Ovis aries: one gene and its partners. The protein of the gene in region 6 interacts with the protein of the main gene of each other region in a pairwise test. Links are inferred from orthologs where the notes say so. Each region holds a gene or a part of one and is shown on either strand. Other genes may lie near its edges. The genes, in order: TRIR, QKI, LENG8, RBM42, NDUFAF3 and SNRPA.

Region 1 (4,207 bases), on a different chromosome or scaffold from region 6:
AAGGCTGCCGCGCTGCCACTGCATTAAATAGTTATGTACATCGCAGAGAGTCCCAGGCCGTGGGCAGGCAGGGAGGGGGGTCATTTCACCAGGGGCCGCGTTTTATCATCATCACCGCACTGGTGGGCTTTGTACTTTTTCACCTCTGCCATGTACTTGGCCCATGCATCACCTTTACTTGTTAATACCTGTTGGGGGGGAGGAGGGATACACAGGGGGTTGGGAAGGGGATGCCAGGAACCAGGGTCAGGACTGTCCTGAGACAGCTGACCCACCCACAGCGTATTGGGTCTGAGACAAAGATAAGCAGAGGCAAGTTATCTAGGAGCTGGGTTGAAAGCCCTCCTCCCCCACCCAGTACATCCATCCAAGGGCCAGATACTGAAAAGGGAGGGATGGGGCACCTCGGCCAGGCGCTGAGGCTAGAAGGAAAAGGCAACAGAGGCAGTCCCTGCCACAACCGGTCTGCTCACCTCATCCTCCGTCTTCTGCTTCTTGGCTACTATTCCCGTCTTGAGGGCTAGTTTGTTCCCGCCTCTGCGCTTGCCCACCTGGGTGAAGGGACAGAAGACTGCAACGGTTACAGGAGCCGGGGCCCGCCCTTGGCGGTGCTGAGGCCCACTACACCTTCCTAGCCCGGCCCGGTGGCCCGTCCCGACGCCGCGCCCAGCTCCACCAGCCGGCCGACCTGCGCAGCAATCAGAGAGGAGCACACGCGACTCAGCACCTGCCCTGGGCCCATGATGCCCAAGCAGTCCTGGGCCCCCCAGCTGTCTTCCCAGGGAGAGAGAAGAATCCCCACATGAGGGGGATGAGCTCTGTCCTCACTATCCCCTAGTACAGACCACACAGGCAGCAACTGCTCCCTTTATTGAGCACTTACTGTATACTAAGCCCTGTGCCAAGTGGCTTTGGACGTATCATCTCCTTCAACTTTCAGTTACCTTAAGATGAAGGTCATAACCGTCCCCATTGGACAGATGAGGAAACACCTTTGAAAAGGAGAAGCCTGTCCCCTGGATCATGCTGACAGCAGACAGTGGAGCTAGATTCAGGGTCAGGTATGTTGAGTCCAGGGAGCAGCAATCTTAGCCACCGCCTGATGCTGTTCCCTGACACCTAACCTGGCCTGGCCTCTTTGAGGGCACTCCCGCAAATGCACCCCCCCCGCCCCGATGACCAAACGGAAAAGGCAGTGACAACTACTGCTACTCTCATTCACAGGGGGGCACTCGGCTGCCACCCAGTTCTCACACCAGCCCAGGCCCGGTCACTTCCCATTCTTCAAATGTAAGATTTAGCCTGAACTTTCCCGGTCCTCTATTTTCTCCCACGAACTGAGGGCTTCTTGTGCACCAAGGGCTGTGACAGGCTTTACAGACATCCTGTCCCTAGCCCTCAACCAGGTGTTAAGTGACCTGAGCTGCTGAGACTATTCTCACGCTTTTTTGACAGATGAAGAAACTTGACGCACCCCCACCCAAGTCCATTACTCTTAAGTCAACACTTTTTTTCTCCACACCACAGGAACTTGCTCTCAACACGAGACAAAGCCAGCTCAGGGTTGACAATCAATATAGGTGCCCTTTTTTTAGCCTAGAGTTTCTCAATCTTAGGCACTAATGACATTTTGAACAGGATCATGTTTGCTGGAGAGGGGGAGGAGAGAATTGTTCTGTTTCTGGATGTTGAGCAGCAGCTCTGCCCTCTGCTCATGAATGTCCGTCCTGATGACCACAGATGTCCCCAGACTTCGTCAAGTGTGGAGATGGGGTAGGTGGAAATCATCCCCAGTTGAGAACCATTGGTTTAGCCCTTCCTATAAGGCTTGCCCAATGGTAATCACATAAGAAGATGCCCATTTTTGCAAGCAGGGAAAATGAGGTTAGGCCATCTCAGATGCTCCGGGAGAGCAGTGATGCCTGTCATGTTCAGCACAGCATATCCATCACCTAGCACAGTGCCCAGCACAAGGTAAGGTGCTCAATAAATGGACACCGGACGAAGGAAAATCATGGAACTCAAGCAAATCTCCTAGGTCACACAGTAAGCAGTCTGAGTCTTTCATTCACACAGCTCAGACTCCAGACTTGAATATGACACCCATTCTCATAGTGGGAGATGGTCCCCAAATCCAAAGTTCGGGTGGGTACCACTCAAACAGGAATTCTAGTACCCTGGTCTCCCGATCCTCGGAACGCTGTTTCCAATGGAATCCCCCCCCCAGCTCCCAGTTCCTGCGGGCAGACTCCTGGGGTCCCCATCTCCGCCCCCAGACCTCTCTTGTAGGGAATCCAGGTTCTGAATCCTCAGCGGATGACCCAGACGGCCCCCTGATCGGAATCGGAGGGTGGACGTGGATCCCGATCCCCTTTCTCGGTCCCGATTCCCCAGGCCAAGGAAGACCCTGGCGCCCGCCCCCACCCCCGCGGCTCCTTACGAAGCTGAGCGTGGGGCCCGGACCGCCCTTCCTCTTCGGATCCCCGGGACCCGCGGCGGCAGCGGTGGCTGGCTGATCGGGTCGCTGCGGGCCCGGGGGCGGCTCCTCCTGCCGCTGCCGCTGCTCCTCCTCCATCTTCCGCTTGAACAGCTCCAGGAAGCTGCCGTCGTTGGCGAACAAGTTCACGCCGCCCGACACTGGGCTCGAACCCGCGCCCGACACTTCATCATCGCCGCTCTCGGGCGACGTCCCGGGCCCGGACTCAGCCCATCGGCTTCCGCCGCCGCCGCCGCCACCCGCAGGGCCCGGCGCCTCCCGACCAGGAGGCTCCGCCCGTCTCCCTCGGGCAGCCATTTTGTCACCAGGTGCCGCGCAAAGGACTCCGGGAAGGCCGCTCCCGGCCCCGCGCTTGGCGCCCGAGAAGCCTGGTCCCGGGCAATGCATGCCGGGAAGACCAGTCTGGTGCTTAGACGACCGCAGTGGGGGCGGGGCATGAGGGGCGGGGCGAATGAGGAATAAGGCCTGACGCTGCGCGCCCTCAACCAGCTGCCCCGGCCCGCCCTGCCGGGTCCGGCGGAACATCATAACCCTGCTAGGCTCCTGCTGGCGTTACGCAAAGATGGTCTCTTCCGGAATGAGACTATTGTTTGGTTCTGAGTGTGTAGCTGGCTCTCGGAGTGCGGTTCCCGCGTGGGACTCGGTGGTGTACTAGCTTTTCGGGGCTAGAATCTCCTTCTGACACCAGGGATAATCTCAGTGAGGGGAGAGACGTTGCTTGGCTGTGTGCTCAGCTGATAACCTCGGAACCTGGGTCCCTAACTAAAACTAGCCAGAGGGCATATCTAGCCTGGTCCCCGAGAACAGAAATGGGGGTGTCTCTGGATTAGGTACCTATCTCTGGGATGGAGCTTTCATTTGGAAATAGAGACACAGCTCACTCCAAGGAGCTGAGAGGTTCATATCTGCAAATCAAGGTATTACTTTATGTGCTGCTGCTGCTAAGTCGCTTCAGTTGTGTCCGACTCTGTGCGACCGCATAGACGGAAGCCCACCAGTCTCCCCCATCCCTGAGATTCTCCACGCAAGAACACTGGAGTGGGTTGCCATTTCCTTCTCCAATGCATGAAAGTGAAAAGTGATTGTGAAGTTCTTTATGTGCTAGAGTACCGAAATGAAGCCACGGATAGTTCTAGGTTGGAGCCTCCAACTAAGGTATAGTGTCCTCAAAAGGGCCTGCGACCAAGCATGTATTCCTGCCCAGGGCAGAGTTTCAAACAGAATTGGCTGAACTGAAGTTTCCCTTCGAACCTGGGGTAAAGTGGAAGCAGGTTTTGGGGAATCGGGTGCCTTCTACAACAAGGATGCAAGCCCGCAAAGGAGCTCAGGGCTCACTGGACAAGGATCTGCGGACCTCGCCCCCAACTGGAGTAATTCTCTCTCTAACCCACTCGCAGCGCCGAAACTGTCTCCAGCAAACTAATCGGTTCGTCTGTGATTGGTTTGCGTCAGGAGCCCGATGGCTCCCAGCCAATTGAATAACAGAAGAGACGGACCTGAGGGGTGCTGGGACCTAGTTCGGAGAATAGGGGCGGGAAATGATCGACAAGAAGTTGAGCCTATGGAGTCAGGTCAGGGTGGACCTCGGAACTAACTTCTTGAAAAGGGTATGGAATGGGTGTTTGGTCGGTTGCTAAGGGAAGGTTGGTGCTACCGGGACGTGAGAGTGATTGGTGAAAGTAAGAAAAGATGTAGCCAATGAGAGGAGTG
Region 2 (3,500 bases), on a different chromosome or scaffold from region 6:
CCCACGGAATCCATAGGCAACACAAATAATGCACTCCTACTAACACAGACCACCCAACAGAAGTATTAACTTGTACAGACTTCGTGTACACTTGCTTCTTGTTTGCAATGAGAAACTGATCTAAAAGAGAGACAAAGCTTTCACCAGCCCTACCTGATGATGGACCTACATTTTCACCCTGTAACAGAGTGATGCAAAGGCAGCCACACTTTTGAAAAACAGGCCACTGATTCGGTTTGCTCCATTCACATTTCCTTCACAAAAAAATAAACAGGTAGCAGACTTTCCCATTTAAGAAATGTAGCAGTGTCTGTCTCTTATTCTATAGCAAATGACTTATACATTTTTTTTATATTTTGTGCTTAAATAAAATTCTGAACAAATAATAACCTATTCTTTATTAACATAAACATTGTAATAATTTAAAAATTAACTGAAAAAGATCTTGGGCCTAAATCTAAGATTTGGAAATTATTACTTACTGCAGGTACCAGTAATTTCTTCACTTCCTCAACGGCTCTCTTCAGTTTGATCTCTGCTCTGTTTTGAGCATCTTCCACAGTGATCAGTACATGTAAATCTTCATTGAGATGCTCCCAATTAGGCTTGCCTCGATTTTGCTCCTCCTAAAAAATTCACAAAGCACACGATTACAAAATTTTCTTTTCAAAGAGACAGCACATCTTTCCATCCATAATAATGACCTGCTGCAATCATTAAGCTATGCTTGCATGGTTTTGCTATGAGTAAATGAAAGGTCACTGAGGTAAATTTAGGCAAGTTCACCTGACAAGGCCATGTGGCTAGTAACTTGCCAAATTTAGGAACTGAATCAACATCTTCATTCTCAAATTCAGCGGTTTTCCCATTTTGTTGCAACTGCTTTTAGTAACACTGGCTGAATTTAAGAACAGGAAAAGTATTTTGCCAACAGACATTACTGTGTAGACAAATGCCATTTGTTTTAAGCATTTCAAGTAGTGATTATGGAACCATTTCATTATAAAATAATAACAAGGAATAAATGTGATGATACTTTTAACTGTAGTTCTATCAGACCTTACTTTAAAAACAGTGAGCTGTACAGTCACTCTTTTAACTATACCATCATAAACACTAGTTTTAGCAGAGAACATCTATATTTCATTTCCCCGGTGTCTTCAGATGACCGAGTGATCCCCAGGTGGAAAACACTGTCAAGCTACAGGAAAGATTGGCCGTATTTCCCTTTCAGCTAAAATATAATCATTTCAGAATTGCTTCTTGCCTTAAGCTTTAGAGATAATATACAAATATATTTGTAAGTATTTCATAAATATAACTTTATTAATTAAAAACAATAACAACGTGAATATCAAAATGGTATAAATGAATGCATATGGTTCAGTGCAATGTACCACACACAGACAATGAACAATACCTTTTTTGAAGTCTCATCTTTAAGTATTCTATTTACTGACTTGGGAATACTATTTACTGAATTCTTCCAATCAAAGAAAAATAAACTGTTTATTAAAACAAACAGTTTTCTACCATAACTCACATGTTTGCAGAGGCCATGCCAGGGAAAAGAAATATATGCAACTCAAGACAATAAGGATAAAAATGAGTTCTTAAAAGTTTATGCTTCTCTTTATTTTCTATTACTATTGTTGCGTGTGAAAACGCACCCAAGTGTTGTGAGGGGAAATGGAAAACCAAGCAAAGCACACCAGCCTGTGGTCGGCCCCCTGTGTGCCCCCAAGGAGTGAATTCAAGGAGACAGTGCAGCTCGCTCACCAAGCACCGAGAGTACTCAGGGCTTCAAGGGGAATAGCAAGAGTTGATGTCTGTCAGACACCACGCAACCTGTGAGTTTACAATATTTGTCTTTATCAATATTAGACCATGCTACATTCCTTTTGATGATGTCTTGTCTTTGCAATGCTAAGTTTTTAGTGGTTGCTGTAATAAAAAGCCATGCCCATGCAAAATCAGTGTGGAACAGGAAGAGGGTGGGAGTGTCCAGTTTGAGAATCTGAACAGTATCCAAGAGGAAAACAAATACAATAATAAATAATGTGGTTGTTTACAAATAGAATTTAAACAAAAATTTCAATTTAAGTTGTTTTGCTAAACTAAGCTGTTTGGAAGTAACCATTTAAAAATGGGAAGAAAAACTCCAGCGTTTCTTTTTGCCAAGGGGACACCATGAAAAACTGAGAGACTCAAGGAGTTAGTGAGTCAAGGGACTGGGCACCTCGCGGCTATCCGTGTGCCAAATACAAAGTGTGCAGACATACCTCTACTGTAACAATAAAAAGCAATTTTAAAATCCAGAGTTTAATTTTTATGTTGTAAAACACTGACAATATCGTCTCACTGAAATTTATATCTGATCAATTTTTTCAACTTTTCATAGAAGTTTTTATAGAAGTGATCAAGTTCTGTGTGTTTATGTTTTAATGAACCTAAAAGTATCTCCACATCCATACAAATGAGGAATGTCTGCTTTGGGCCAAGATAAAGTAACATCAACAAGATTCACTCTCATGTCTAAAAACAACCCAAGAGCAGGAGGATAGTGAGGTTGAGGATGGGAAGCCAAGGCAGGAAGTCCCACGATTGTCCAGGCTTCCTGGCCTGGGAAGTTCGAGGCTGCAGCCCTGGGAAGGGTGCCAGCCTGCCTCTCTGAGTGGAGAAGACTAACCTCTGAGACCCGGGAGGGCACAGCAGCTAGAGCTCACCTAAACCAGTACTGGAAAAAGGAGCTGCACAGAGAGTGGGGGCCTCCCTAGTGGCACAGACAGTAAAGAGTCTGCCTGCAACGCGGGAGACCTGGATTCGATCCCTGGGTTGGGAAGATGCCCTGGAGAAGGGAACGGCTACCCACTCCAGGATTCTGGGCCTGGAAAGTACCATAAACAGAGGAGCCTGGCAGGCTAAAGTCCATGGGGTCACAAACAGTTGGACACGACTGAGCGACTTTCACTTCACTTTGAGAGTGGAGATCTGCACAAGTATTCAACTGAACACTGCTCAGCACATATGTGGGAGGAAATACCAGAGACCAGAAAAAGAACCAATCAAAGGATTCAAGGTAGAAAACTTTATGATACACAAGACACTGGGACAAGTACACAGAGGTCTTGCCTCAGGAGTGGAAAATAATCAGTCAGCTGTCTGAGCAGTACCGTGCCAGCAGTGCCTAAATAAATACTCAAAGCAAGACCTAAAAGGATCCAACTGTCTCCAATTTAACTGTGTCCTAGAACAAAGTCCAAAAACAGGTATAGGAATATGAAATATCCACCCAACAAGGTAAAATCCACACTGTGTGAGCTTAGTCACTCAGTTGTGTCCAATTCTCTTGTGACTTCATCGACTATAGCCCGCCCAGCTCCTCCGTCCATGGGATTCTCCAGGCAAGATCACTGGGGTGGGTTGCTTTCCTTCTCCAGGGGACCTCCTTGACCCAGAGATTGAACCTGCATCTCCTATGGCTCCTGCATTGGCAGGCG
Region 3 (3,500 bases), about 14 Mb from region 6:
GCAGGGCCGGGGCCACCTACCAGGCGGTGGCCGAGCTCCCCCTGGGAGGTCAACCTCTAAAATAAGGACCGGGCCCCAGACAAGGACAAAGCGCGCACGCGGCTTCTCTCTCTCTCTCTTTAATTTTGGTTTCTCTCAAGCTTCCAAGTGGTGCTCAGTGCTCCAAGGAAAGAATGAAGGAAGGAAAGGGGAGGGGAGAAGGGGGAGCGGGGAGGCAGAGGAGGACATCTGAAGAGAAGCAGCCTGACAGTCCAGCTGTTTGCAACTCAGCGCACCCTCCAGTTACATGGCAGAAGAGGGCGGGAGACGGAAAAGAAAAGGGGAGGAAGAAAAATAACTTAAATAAACACACACACAAAGAAAAGAGAAGGAAACATGACGTGAGCTGGTGATCCATGAGGCGGGGAGGGAGGGTAACCGCTTTACCTGTGCTGAACCGAGGGAAGAATGCGAGGAGGGGGAGGACGGGGCAGGGGAGACACGGGGGAGGGGGACACGGAGACAACTCAATACAACTGCAGACGAGGCGGCCCGGCCGGCGAGGTCCCGCGGCGGCCTCCGGAATCCTCAGTGTGGCGGTGGTGTGGCGGGTGGCGGCGGCGGCGGCTTCTGGGCTCGGGGGCCGAGGGCAGGGCACAGTCTCTAGGCGGCTCCCCTCGCCCCAAACACTGAGGCCCCGGAGGGCTGGCAACAAGAGTCTGTGGAGCAGCAGGCGGGAGGCGGGCGGTGGGCGTGCCCCCGCCGTGGGCGGGCGCGGGCGGAGCGGCCTGTCTTCTTGCCCTGCCCCCCGGCATGGGACGGGCCAGGGTGCTGGGTCGGTACCGGAGTACGAGCTCGAGAGAGAGAGAGAAAAAACACTGAGACAGCATTAGTGGAGGGCCAGACAGACAGACCAGCCTATAGACCGCGCCCCCGGCCCTACGCTGCCCGTCCCCCTCTTCCCCAGCCCGACCCTCTCAGGCCAAAAATAAAAACGTAGAAAAATCTCTGTACAGACTCCCCGGTGGGAAAACGGGGGCAGGGACGAGGGCTCTTCCTGGAGCCCTCTCCCCACGAATTAATTTACACCCCAAGTCCATGGCTCAAAGACAAGATCTGCAGCCCAGCCCCCCGCCCCCGCGGCGCTGGTGCTCAGAAGGCCGGCAGCTGCGCCAGGCTGAGGCGGCAGTCGATGCTGGAGTTGTCCGGGCCCGTGTAGGCCAGGCCCAGGGGCTCCAAGAAGGCCCGGCAGGCGGCCTCGCCCTCGAAGGCCAGCTCGGCCTGCAGGTAGGAGACGGGCAGCGCTGGGCGGAAGCTACGGAGACAAGAGGAGAAGGTGATGAGGCGGCGGTAGACGCGGGAAGGCCCCACGGGCAGGGAGGGGGCGCCCCCGTTCGGGCGCCCGAGAGGCTTCCTCAGCGCATTAGCTGCCAGCCCCGCTCCCACCCGCAGCCTCCCCACCTCAGCGGCTCAGGGGGGCCCGGGGTGGGGTCGGACCCCGGCCCCGGCTGCGCCCCCCTTCGCCCTCACTTACCTGAGCAGGGGACAGGAGGAGGGGATGGGAGGGAAGGGCCAGCTGGCTCCTCTGCTGGCTGGGTGCCTGCGCAGACCCTCACAAGAGGGCCCACCGAGGCCGGGGGGGCCGGGGATCGATGCAAGGGGCGGGGGCTGGAGGGGGCTGATCCTATCTGGGGACCACCCCTCCTGCTTGCCTCGCCCTGGTCAGAGGAGGCTGAGCACCCAGCTAAGAGGAGGTGGGCCGGTGCCGGCCAGCAGCTCTGTGCGTGCGCCCTCCCAGCAGCGGGCCCACCCAGCTGTACGCACCCAGGAGCAGGGCTCCAGGGGCACAGCCACTGAGCTCACACTAGTGGGGGACACGGGACCCCTCTTGCCTCGAACCCTGGCCGTCTGTGGGACTGGCCCTGGGACAGGGGGCAGTTTCTGCTGAAGACGCGGGCCCCTTCAGACACAGGCCCCTCGGCGCTCTGGGCAGGAAGCAGCCCGCGCCCTGCCCTGTCTGCTGAGCCCGCCTCACTGCCTGTCTTTCCACAGCCCTGCCCTCTACCTCACCCTTAAACGTTCTCACCCCACACTGGAGCCCACAAGGAGCCTCCTAACCCTCCTGGGTGGGTGTCCACCCCCACCCAGACCGCGCCCCGTGGCTCCCAAGGCCCCTGGGACCTCTGAGCAGTGCTCGGCAGCCTGTCACCTCAGGAGGTGGCCCCGGCGGAGGCGACCCGGGCACCGTGGGACGCTCAGCACATCCCCAGCCTCTGGCCCTAGAAGCCGGGACGACTCCGGCCGTGACAAAAGGGGTGTCCTTAGCCCACCTGGCGCGCCTCCCTCCTAACAGATGCGAACACACCGTTGCCCGGGGCAGAGGGCACCCTCTTTGGGGGCTGTCGGCCTCGCTTGCCTGCACGGCCCTAAACTCATCTGAGCCCTCACGAGGGCGCAAGGCCCGGTCGCTGAGCCCACAGCTGCTGAGGGCGGGGCCGGCTCTGCGGGCTGCCCCACGGGGGCGCTCAGCCTCTGGGCGTGGTTCGGCCTCGAGGGTCGGGGAAGCGGGAGGCTTTGGATGAAGGGGGCCTGGACAAGGGGATGATGTGGGAGGGGGGGGTTCCAGGCTGCCACGAGCAGAGAGCAGCAGGAGAGAGGGGAGGGGCGGGGGGCTGTGCAGAGAAGGGCGGGTCCAGATGAGGACGAGCGCACAGGTAGGGGGAGGAGACAGGGCGGCCCGCGGCCTGGGCGGGGTGGAGCTCAGCTTTACATACGTTTTGATCATTGCCTTGAGCGCAGCCTTGCGCTCCCGGTCTGCAAACTTGTCCACGAGGTAGCCAGACATGCAGGGAGCGTGAGAGTAGAGCCGGAAGAAGCGGTGGTAGTTGCCCAGAGCCCAGGCGGCCCTGAGCGCCAGGGCGTGGGCCACGCAAGGGTCCGCCTTCAGCTCCCGAGTCAGGTACGCCAGCTCTGTGGTGATGTCTGCGGCCAGAGACTCGGGGTCAGGGGGCTCGGGGGGCCGCGTCAGGGGCCCAGGGCCGCGGTCCTGCACCTCACCTCCCGAGTTCTTGGTGAAGATGTAATAGAGGATACGGTAGGCGGTGAACTCGCCCACGTTGCCCGGCAGGTTCTCGGCGTACAGCGACTTGAGCTGCGTCTGGCACTGGTTGAACTCTTCATGGTCCCCCTGGAGGGCAGAGCGTGAGGGGGCAGAGTGAGGCCCACACGGCTGGGTGGGGGGACGGCTGAAAGCCTGGGGTGGGGTGGGGTGGGGCGGGGCCCTGCCTGCCCTCACCTTCTCCAAGGCGATGCGCGCGTGCGTCTCGTACACCTCCACTGTGAACTCGGTGCGCACACCCTGCACCTGGTGGGAGGACAGCGGCTGTCACAGCAGAGCCGGCCTCCCCGATCGGCCCTGCCCCGGCCCCGGCCCCTCGCTGGCGCCCGCCTCACCGTGAGGTCCTGCCGGATGGACTTCATCTGCTCGCAGGCGAAGGCGTAGTCCTGCTTCTCCTTCCAGT
Region 4 (2,829 bases), about 3.8 Mb from region 6:
TGGCCAGTGCCTTCAGGAAGCCGCCTTGGACTCCTCGGGATGGTTCCCCATCCCAACCCTGCTAACTCTCATTGTCTGGCAATGGCTCTCTGCCACTGAACCATTAGCTAGGAACACTGTTACCACGGTATCCACACACTGTCCAGGTCCTTGATGAAAATGGATGAATGAATGAAAGCCTGGAAAGCTCTGAGCTCCAGAAGGGCAGGGCCCAGAGGACCCACTACCTTGGTGCTGAGAACACAGGGTGGAATCAGAAGACCACTGGGGTGAGCCTCCACTTGGCTTTGACCTTGCGCTAAGACTCTACTTCCTCCTCTGAGGAATGGGCTGCACTCAGTATACACTTAAAGAGGTTTCAAGAAGATCTAACGGGCAGGTAGCAGCGTTGAAAACACCCATCTGCATGTTTATGTAAACTTTCAAGGCTCCCCACTGTCTCCAGAGTGGGGGATGCTAAGCCCGGCTCTCCAAAGAGTGCTTCCAAGCCTAGCCAAGGATGGAAATGAACGTAAATTTATTGAAACTGGTGTTGGGGAGGATGGCTGGGTAGACAGTTGAGGGTTTTCCAAAGAACTGTGGGGAGGAACCAGCGCCCGGCCGGATGGGAGCGGGTGCCTGGCCACAGACCCTATCTCAGGCCCAATTTCTTCTTCTCCTTCTGCTTCTTGCGCACCACGTCCAGGTTCCGGTCCTTCCACATGCTCTTGCGCAGCTTGATGGGGCGTGAGCCCACATACTTCCCTGTGGGAAGAGAGGGTTCAAGGTCAGGCTCAGACCAGATGTCTGCCATGCCCAATGACCCTAGGGAGACCGCACTCACCATTCATCTCACGCATGGCACGCACATAGTCACTGGGGTCCTTAAAGCTGACGAAGCCATAACCCTTGGTCTTGCCTGTGCGCTTGTCACGGATCACCTTAGCCTTAAGGAAGGATGGGAAGCGGCTGAAGGCTCGGGCCAAGATGTCATCATTCACTTCGTTGCCCAGGTCCCCACAGAAGATCCGGAAGTCATCTGGGGTTGGGAGAGGGAAGATCAGAGGATACACATGTGTGGCCCAGGGTCTGTCTTACTGAAATGATCCCACCTTCTCTGGGAGCATCCCCCAAGCCCTCTTCCCTCTGTATCCCAGCAGTCTCGACCTGAGGTCCTCTTAGTTATAACAGCCAACACCTGGATAGTATATACCCTGTGCTAGACTCTCTGAAATAGCACCCCACTCCAGTACTCTTGCCTGGAAAATCCCATGGGTGGAGGAGCCTGGTAGGCTGCAGACCCTGGGGTCGCTGAGCGATTTCACTTTCACTTTTCACTTTCATGCACTGGAGAAGGAAATGGTAACCCACTCCAGTGTTCTTGCCTGGAGAATCCCAGGGACGGGGGAGCCTGGTGGGCTGCCGTCTATGGGGTCGCACAGAGTTGGACACGACTGAAGTGACTTAGCAGCAGACTCTCTGCAAAGCATCCATAAAGTTTTCACATACCTGGCATTCCCAACAGCCCTATACGCCAAGGCACAGAGAGGTCAAGTCACCTGCCCAAAGTTAATCAGCAAGCAGCAGAGCTAGGACAAGAACTCAGGCATCTATCTGGCTCGAGAGCCTTCACTTTCAACTAACGGCACTGCCCTGCCCCACCCCAGGGCCACCTCACCCACTCCGGTGATGAAGCCCCTACCTTTGTCATCACAGCCCTGGCCTGTCCTCTGAGCCCCCAGCATCCTTTGGCCTCCTGAACACCTCTCCATGGACACTCCCTGGGCCCCTGACACCCACTGGTTCCCATAATGGCACCCCAGGACCGCAGACTTCATCCTCAGCTCTGCCTCCTCTGCAAAGCCCACTCTGATCCCGTTTGAGTCCCTGAAACCTGAACACACTGCCTCATTCTTCTCCAAGGTCAACTTCAGCTGCCATTTTTGGATAAACCTCCTGGGCTGAGCCTGGTCTTGACCAAATGTGCTCAAGCTCAAAGAATCCCTTCCCCCACGAGTATATACTATTACTATCTCCTTGCTGGAAAACAAGGCGTGAAAGGCGGAGTGACGTGTCCAAGGTCACAGAATTAGGGTCTACCGCCTAGCCACCTCTGGGCCAGTGCTGTAAAGGAGTGGGGTGGGACTTAGGCTCCTTTCCTTAGCTACCACTGTGGTTGCCTCATAGCTTTGGTGGTGACTGAGGGCACTCTTGAACAAGTTAGGTCACCCCAGGCAGAAGTAATCTGACAAACTTAAGAGGGTAGGACCGTCCATAAACCAACTGATCTGAACATTTCAAAAGACTATTATAAGTGAGACAAAGCAGCGAGAGGGAGACAATTCTCTTTAAAAGATAATCTAGTGGCACAAAACTGCATGCCTCCTGGTTTAGGGGAAAAACAGCTAAAAGGAAACAGTTTGGAGACAACTGGGAAAATCACAATATAAACAGAATATGAGATAACACAGTTACTGTTAATTGTCTTAGATGTGTTAACCATGTAATGATATGAAAGAAAATATTACTTTTCTTAGGAGATGAATACTAAGGTATTTAGGAGTGAAGTGATAACCTCATTTATAATTTACTTCACATGATTGAGCAAAAACCAAAAAATGATAAACATGGAGGGTTACAGTGAAGATACCAAAATGTTAATTGCTGAATCTAGGTGGTTGATATATAGTTAACTGTGCAAAATTTAAAATTTTGTGAGAAATTTTGATTATATTTGATTATATTCTTTGCAGCCAAAGATGAAGAAGCTCTATACAGTCAACAAAAACAAGACCAGGAGCTGACTGTGGCTCAGATCATGAACTCCTTATTACCAAATTCAGACTTAAA
Region 5 (2,860 bases), on a different chromosome or scaffold from region 6:
TTTTGGACTGGCATCCACAGGACCTCCTGCTAGCCCAAAGTTCGGCCACATGGGACCAGGTTTAGACCCACATACTCTGAACCTTCCCTGATGGCTTAGTTGGTAAAGAGTCTGCCTGCAATGTGGAAGATGCAGTTTCTATCCCTGGGTGGGGAAGATCCCCTGGAGAAGGAAATGACAACCCGCTCCAGTATTCTTGCCTGGAGAATTCCATGGACAGAGGAGCCTGGTGGGCTGCAGTCCATGGGGTCACAAAGAGTTGGACACAACCAAGTGACTACTTTAACTTTTCACGTATTTGGAGGAAGCACAGAGGTCCCCTCAAATCTGTATGTGAGCAAGTAGACAGACCTACAGTTTAGAACAGGTGCCTATATTGCCCCCTGGCCTCTCAGAGGCCAAGCCATGACCCTCTGGTTCCTTCACAAACCCCTCCAAGAACCCATTGAGACAACAGCTCCTGGCCAGCAACACAGCTAGTAGAAAATCAGACAAGGGGCTTAAATTAGTAATTTGCTGGTAAGCAAAACAAATCTTACAGTGCGAAAGGGGAGGGGCTAGTGAAAGCTCAGGGCACCGCTGCATTCTGCAGAAGGTGACAAGGCCCTCCTGGACAAGTCAGGTTAAGTTTCGGTGGTTCATTCTGCAGACTGGGCCTGAGATGTGAGTGCAGCCCCTCCAGGTGGGGGAATGAGAGCAGCTCCTGTCACTCGGCCTTCATGACAGAGGAAGTTGAAAGTGGCACAGGCATTGGGCTGCAATGAGAAAGCTAGCGTCAGCTGGCCCAGGGCTCGGCCTGGGCTCCCCTCCAAGTCCCCCAGTCCCGGACGTACTGTGTCCTGCACCTCCACCGCGATGCCCCTCTGCCTCATGGCTCGCAGCACGTGGGGCTGCAGCCGCTCAGTCCGGTCTCCGGTGCCCACCACAACAATCTCTAGGAAAGGATAGGCTCGGCTAGTCTACAAGCAGCTCGGTCGAGAGGGTGCCTTTCTGGGCTCAGCACTTCAGCCCTCCCCTCCATCAATACCTATCCTGGGCTCCAGCATCCAAAAGAGAGAGAAGCTTTCCTCGGTGATGTCCTGGTAGGAACCTACCTGTGTGGGGAGAGGGCAAGATAAATGTAAGCCCACGTAGGTGTTCCCAGAAACCCTCTACCTGCTCCAGAGTGGGATGAAAGAAATGCCAGGTTTGCTAGGGACAGGCAGGCCCGTGACTCCGGCTCTCGGTTTCCTCACTGTAGGGAGGCGCTCACGTTCCACTGCACCACCGACTGTGGGAGGAGCGCGCAGGGTCCAAACACGCGATTCCCGTTGACCACGAAGCCGCGGCTGCTGTAGCTGTCGATGTACATGGCGAGGGGGGACTCGCGCTGCAGTAGTGAGATACGCGTCCGTTGATACAGCTCGTCATCCGCCGGCGTGAGCCGATGTCCCCGCCGCGGGGCCCTGCAGAAAGGTACTGTCAGGGGGCCGGGAATGGCCGGCCGTGGGGCGGATGGTCAGGGACACCGCGTCCGGGCTCACCATGGCAGCTCCGCGGGCGGACAGCGAAGCGCAGGTCGCGCGCGGTACAGGTTCCGAAGCACAAACGCTGCGGCCATGGCGGACCGGCGCGCAGGGAGGCTGGCGCAGGGTCAACGGGGTCGCGGCGTCCCCCAGCCCAGCGCGGCTCTAGCGCCCCCAGCGTCGCGGAGGACACCGCGCGGCTCGGCCGGCCCAGCGCGGGAGAAGGGAGGGAGCGGGCCAGGGGCCTCCGTCCCAGGGGGCCGCGTCCCCCAGCGCGGCTCCGGTGTCAGCACCTGCCATCCTCCCCGCCCCGGGCGCCCGCAGGCCGCCCTGGGAGAGCCGGACACCTGGAGGCGCGGCCGGCCGCAGGGCACTGCCTGGCCCCCAGCTCTCAGCCATTACGCTGGGCTCCCAGGGCCGGGGGAGGGCGGCCGAGCACCTGTTGGAGTCGCGCACACCTGGCCTGGGCGTGGCGCCCGCCCACAACCCCCCAGCCTCTAATCCCGGCTTTAGAGCTTCGGGTTCCGAGGGCGGGGCGGGCAGCTCAGGTTTCCGTCGCTCGCCCCCCGAGTCCCGCCCCTCCCTAACCGTCACCCGCGCGACCGTTGGCGTCGCGGCCGCGAGTCGCACGGGGCGTGGCTGCGCCTGGATTGGCCTCTCCGGAGCCCGAGGGGGTGTGGCTGGGGGTTTCGCCTTAAAATGGCTCCAACGCTGCAGCCGGAGCAAGCGGAAGGGGACGCGTTGGTGGGGAACTTCAAGCTGGTCGTTGCGACTACCGGGCCAGACCGGACCGGATGGTGAAGTAGACAGCGGCTGGAGCCTCGCCCTGTTGTCGCGCACTTCGCTCGCGCTCCGAGAATCCCGTGACCTGCGTTTTGAGCCGAATCAGAAGGCCTACTGGCGTGAGAATCGCTGGCACCCGCGCAGGTTCCAGCATCTCCGCGCGACCACAGTGTTTTGGCCTTAGGGGCACGTTGCCGCATCTCCTACCCGCAGGGCCGGGCAGGCGGGAGGCTCGGCACAACCGAGGACGGTCGCAGTGGGTTTCCGGGATTCCTGGCGCTGCAGTTCGGGCCCACTGGGCGTCTAGCGCTCCGGGTACTGGCAGCGTCACCGGACAAAGGGCCCTGGGTGCGGGGGAGTCCCCGAGGAGGGTTTACTTCCTCTCCGACCCCACGGGCGCGCTTCCCTCTTGGCCTGATCCCGACGCCCGACCCACCGCCGTCACTACAGTGGGCCCTGACGGCATGGGACCAACATGGCTAACTGTACCCTGCGGATCTAATCCGAATCGAGACCTGGTCCGAGGGAAGGCCCCCCACCACACCTGTTGTTTGGGGGCCTAGGTGAGCGGC
Region 6 (4,288 bases):
ACAGTCTTAGAGCTGAACTCCTGATCTGGGAGCTGAAGTTGGGACTGCAAAAAAACAGGGCTAAAATCTGTAACCTTGGGAGCAGGGATTGAAGCTGACGCAAATCACAAAGAATCTGAGGGTTAAGGGGTCCTTTAATGTGCAAACAGATCTGTGGTACAGAGTTGGGATGCAGAGCTCAAAGAGAGAGGCTTAGTAGGAGTTAACTTCTTATCCTGGGCTCGTTTAGAAAGTTAGGAAATTATGGGACACGAAAGCCCAGGCCTGGGGCAAGGCACGTAAAGCGTGGGATTGAGGACCCCTGGGCTAAAAACTGGAAGAATTTAGAAGAGATCCTACCCCCTTCGCACCTCAGACCGGAGTTTGGAACCTTAGAGCTGACCTTTGAGTCAGAGGTCAAAAGGACACTTGGCAGGGAAATTAGCCTAGTTGTGGAGAAAGTCCTGAAATCGGGGCGCAACGGGAAGTCTTGTGGGCTGGAGAAGGCTCACAGGTTGGAGGTCGTTGGGAGCCCCCATACGGCTGGGGTAACAGGGCCGGGCACTAAAACGCGCCTACCCTTGCCGCAAAATGGCTGCCGCAGCGTACAGCCTTTCCCAAATCCCGCGGTAAGACTCGCAACTCAAGCCCGCCCCTTTAACGATCACGTGACAGAGACTGGCTGCGAAAGAAAGGCCTTGGAAGAGACTGCCGCAAGAACCGAGTCCCGATTGGCAAGAGGCGCGTGAGGGGGCGCGGCCTTCACTGATTGGTCCTTAGTCGCGTGCGCCGCAAAAGGGTTTGCAGGGGCTGGGCGGAGTTTTTCTGCTGAGGCGCGAACCCAATTGCCGTTTTTATTGGCAAAATCTGGGTCCGGGAGCTAGCCTTACTCTGATTGGCCAAGCTACCAAGTTTCTGCGCAGGGGTTGGCTTGTAGATAGACAAGGCGGGTCTAGAGGAGGAAGTTTTGTGGCCGGCGCTCAGCAGCGTAGCAGGCATCGCTTGCGGGAGCTGAGCCTGTTTCGGTGAGTATTCTTGGGCACAAACGGCCGTAGGCGCCTGGCGGCGGAGCGCTTGACGCCCGGGCTTTCCTGCGCCTCGTGTAGTGGGAACTATTTTTTTTCTGCTCGAGGCCAGGGTTCGGCAACGCCGTCCCGCTGGCCTTAACTGGCGCTTACAGCCGGGCCATTTCTCCTGGGCGGGTCTCTGAGCGCGTGGGCCAGTGGGAATCGCCACCTAGGCCGCTCCGCCTACTAAGTCGAGTAGAGCATCCTGGGACTCGTAGTAAACCTCACGAGATTTCCCTCACCACGCGGGGAGGAGAAGCTGTGTGCTGCGTTTGCTTTGTTTTCCGAGCCGTGCTTCCCTCTTTCCTCCTCTGTACCTTACTTGACTTTCTCTTGGAAGGAAGATCCTTTAGTAGCCCGCGTTGGGACAAAAGGATTTTCAGAAACCCAGGACTGAGTGGGACTTTTTCATTCTTTCAGCCCTACCTCAGCAACTTACTCCATGGCAGTTCCCGAGACCCGCCCCAACCACACTATTTATATCAACAATCTCAATGAGAAGATCAAGAAGGATGGTGAGTTTTCGGGATAGTCCGGACACCAGGCTATCCCGCACGAACCTGCTCCCTCTTCTGTCCCCAGCATCCATGTCTCTTCCTCAGCCTTCTCCAGCCAAACCTTTTAAGTTCGGCCTTTGCACAAGCAGTGCTTTTGATATTTCCTCATTTTCTCCTACACTTTTCCCGGTAATCTGGTAACTTGCTTGTCTTTCAAGGTTTCAGCTTCAAGACGCCCCTCCTCCAGGATGCCTCCCCCTTCCCTTTTCCACCCACGTGCTTGCCTCTGACTTCCTAAAACCCTGAACCTCCCCAGCCAAGTCCTGATCTGGCTGTCAGGGGACTGTCTCTCTCCTGGCCTTTGAGCTCCAGGAGGGTAAGAACTGCAACTGTTGGTCACTGTCATGGCCTCAAGTGAATAATCCACAGTGAAAACGTTTCATTTCAAAATAAAGTGAAATGAACCGTGATGGCGGGTAACACTGGGTACCAGGTGCTGATCTATAAATAATGGTTGCATTTAACTTTCACAGCAATCCTGCAGGAAGGACCTGTTGTTCCCATTTCTTAGATTAGAAACTGAGACTCCACAGGGATGTGATTCTCCCAAGGCATACAGCAGGGAAACGTGCTTGAGACCACTATATGGAATTCTGGTTAAGAACTCGATTCTAGATATGACATACTTTTCTTTTTTCTTGAGCAAGTTATCACTTTTTATTGAACTTCATGTTTTTATATATATAGGAAAGCTGGGCAAAATCTGTGCACAGATGTTATAGGGAATATATGAGCTAAACTTCCATGCCTTTTTTTTTATGGTGCCTAGCTGTTAGTAAGGGTTGGATATAAGTGTTAGCTCTTATTATCTCCTCAAGAAAACTGGTAGGAGAACTGAAGGAGCTTGCTGGCATTAAGTTGAGGTTACTGATAAAGTTGCTATTGAAGATAATAAACAAGCCATGTAAATCCCTCATATACTGTTAGAGCATTGTGCCCAGCCAGTTCTCTGTGGAGCTGTGGACACAGTGGTGACTGAGACAGTCCTGGTCCTGACTTCATGGAACCACAGTCTAGTAGAGATGACAGATCTGCTCCCAGACAGTGATAGCCCAGAGTAGCCATGGCCATAATTGGGGGAAGTTGAGGCATAGTAGTCAAGGCTGGGATTGGGCACTTGGAAAAGGGTATTCAGGTTCACAGAACAGGAGACATTTTGGGAAAGCCTACCAGGGAGAGGAAGCAGCATCTGTGTTACAATGAGGGAGAAGAGTGACTAACCTGGACCAGCATGTGCAAATATCCAGGGGCAAAAGAGAGTCTAGGGCATTCTGGGAACCACATGTACTGCAGTTTTGGGTGCCTGAGACTTAGAGGCTGGTGATTTCATGGAGAACATTCAGGCAAGCAGTGCACTCTGGCTCCTGATGCCTTGAGGTCTGGGTGGGTGTTTTACTTCATCCTGAGGGCTTTGGGGAGCCAGGCAAGGGATGCAGTTAATTGTGAAAGATCTTTCCAGCTGTGGAGGGTGAACTTGTGTGGGCAAGAAAGGAGACTGGGCAGAGGCTCAGCACCCAGGGGAATGACTCGGGCCCGCACTGGGTTCACGGGGATGGCAAGTGGAGACAAATCTCAGAATTGTCATCAGAATTTCTGGCCGTTTGCTTCCCTCTTTACCCGACCCCCCTTTTCTTTCCTGCTGTCTCTTCGGCCAGGTGTCTTAAGCTCAGGTACCTTCTTTGCATAAGACGGGTACCCTTTCCTGGCTGTCCATTTGCTAGGGAGGTTTGGTGGTCCTGGGTTCAGATGGACTTGGGTCCTCGGTCAGTGACAGATCCTCTGAGAGCCTCTATCCACATTAGTAAAATTGGGGCAGTTATAATTGCTCACTCATGGAGTAGAGGTAAAAATTCAGTGAAGTTATTCCCAGAAATCATTTAATGATGTGTTTATTCAGGCAGATGTATTTGGAGATTTGTGTGCTGGCAACTATACTGTTCATTAGGGGTTTTTTTTTTTTTTTGGCTCACACCAAGGGACTTATGGAGAAGGCAATGACACTCCACTCCAGTACTCTTGCCTGGAAAATCCCATGGACGGAGGAGCCTGGTAGGCTGCAGCCCATGGGGTCGCTAAGAGTCAGGACACGACTGAGCGACTTCACTTTCACTTTTCACTTTCCTGCATTGGAGAAGGAAATGGCAACCTGCTCCAGTTCTTGCCTGGAGAATCCCAGGGACGGGGGAGCCTGGGGGCCTGCCGTCTCTAGGGTCACACAGAGTCCGACACGACTGAAGTGACTTAGCAAGGGGCTTATGGGATTTTAGTTCCCTGACCAGGGATTGAACCTGGACCCTTGTCAATAAGAGCACAGAGTTCTAACCACTGGACCACTAGGGAGTTCCCTGTGGGGATATTGTGATAAACAAATAGGATAGACTTGTACCTCTTCAGAAAGAGGACCAAACAAAAAGGAAACAAACATGATGTCAGGAGGTGGGAAGTGCCATGAAAGAAAAGCAAGTAGGTTCTCACGGTGAGAGGAGTGACATGAGGGGTCTCTCACCATGGTGGTCAGGGAAGGCCTCAGGTGGTAACATCTCTGCTGAGTCCTGGGTGACTGGAAGGAGGCAGCCATGTACACATCAGGAGAAAGTTGCTCCTAGTAGAGGGAGCAGTCAGTGGAAAGGTCCTGAGGCAAGGTTGCTGTGACGAGCCTGAGAAAGGGCTGGGAGGCCAGTGTTG

What was found.
Region 1: the proteins of SNRPA (region 6) and TRIR interact in binary tests that used the Homo sapiens proteins (3 or more experiments, as listed by UniProt). The link is inferred for Ovis aries from reciprocal best matches to the Homo sapiens genes SNRPA and TRIR.
Region 2: the proteins of SNRPA (region 6) and QKI interact in binary tests that used the Homo sapiens proteins (3 or more experiments, as listed by UniProt). The link is inferred for Ovis aries from reciprocal best matches to the Homo sapiens genes SNRPA and QKI.
Region 3: the proteins of SNRPA (region 6) and LENG8 interact in binary tests that used the Homo sapiens proteins (3 or more experiments, as listed by UniProt). The two-hybrid records come from large-scale screens. The link is inferred for Ovis aries from reciprocal best matches to the Homo sapiens genes SNRPA and LENG8.
Region 4: the proteins of SNRPA (region 6) and RBM42 interact in a two-hybrid assay, tested with the Homo sapiens proteins (2 studies listed by BioGRID and IntAct). The link is inferred for Ovis aries from reciprocal best matches to the Homo sapiens genes SNRPA and RBM42.
Region 5: the proteins of SNRPA (region 6) and NDUFAF3 interact in binary tests that used the Homo sapiens proteins (3 or more experiments, as listed by UniProt). The two-hybrid records come from large-scale screens. The link is inferred for Ovis aries from reciprocal best matches to the Homo sapiens genes SNRPA and NDUFAF3.

What each region holds. Positions count from the first base shown.
Region 1 is NC_056058.1:11,080,600-11,084,806, reverse strand, and holds the start of TRIR (telomerase RNA component interacting RNase), read right to left. Parts: upstream 2,801-4,207; 5' UTR 2,795-2,800; coding exon 2,441-2,794; intron 552-2,440; coding exon 474-551; intron 189-473; coding exon 81-188; 3' UTR 1-80. UniProt on the Homo sapiens protein: Exoribonuclease that is part of the telomerase RNA 3' end processing complex and which has the ability to cleave all four unpaired RNA nucleotides from the 5' end or 3' end with higher efficiency for purine bases.
Region 2 is NC_056061.1:86,677,227-86,680,726, reverse strand, and holds part of QKI (KH domain-containing RNA-binding protein QKI), read right to left. Parts: intron 627-3,500; coding exon 483-626; intron 1-482. UniProt on the Homo sapiens protein: RNA reader protein, which recognizes and binds specific RNAs, thereby regulating RNA metabolic processes, such as pre-mRNA splicing, circular RNA (circRNA) formation, mRNA export, mRNA stability and/or translation.
Region 3 is NC_056067.1:63,813,778-63,817,277, reverse strand, and holds the end of LENG8 (leukocyte receptor cluster member 8), read right to left. Parts: coding exon 3,433-3,500; intron 3,344-3,432; coding exon 3,275-3,343; intron 3,167-3,274; coding exon 3,037-3,166; intron 2,962-3,036; coding exon 2,093-2,961; 3' UTR 1,295-2,092; coding exon of another isoform or gene 1,132-1,294; 3' UTR 104-1,131; downstream 1-103. Other genes in the region: LENG9 (leukocyte receptor cluster member 9), read left to right, coding at 1-65.
Region 4 is NC_056067.1:45,665,728-45,668,556, reverse strand, and holds the end of RBM42 (RNA-binding protein 42), read right to left. Parts: intron 1,019-2,829; coding exon 824-1,018; intron 745-823; coding exon 632-744; 3' UTR 501-631; downstream 1-500. UniProt on the Homo sapiens protein: Binds (via the RRM domain) to the 3'-untranslated region (UTR) of CDKN1A mRNA.
Region 5 is NC_056072.1:51,014,007-51,016,866, forward strand, and holds NDUFAF3 (NADH dehydrogenase [ubiquinone] 1 alpha subcomplex assembly factor 3), read right to left. Parts: upstream 1,626-2,860; 5' UTR 1,601-1,625; coding exon 1,524-1,600; intron 1,446-1,523; coding exon 1,253-1,445; intron 1,095-1,252; coding exon 1,028-1,094; intron 935-1,027; coding exon 834-934; intron 756-833; coding exon 639-755; 3' UTR 501-638; downstream 1-500. UniProt on the Homo sapiens protein: Essential factor for the assembly of mitochondrial NADH:ubiquinone oxidoreductase complex (complex I).
Region 6 is NC_056067.1:49,429,449-49,433,736, forward strand, and holds the start of SNRPA (U1 small nuclear ribonucleoprotein A), read left to right. Parts: upstream 1-1,488; coding exon 1,489-1,561; intron 1,562-4,288. UniProt on the Homo sapiens protein: Component of the spliceosomal U1 snRNP, which is essential for recognition of the pre-mRNA 5' splice-site and the subsequent assembly of the spliceosome. U1 snRNP is the first snRNP to interact with pre-mRNA.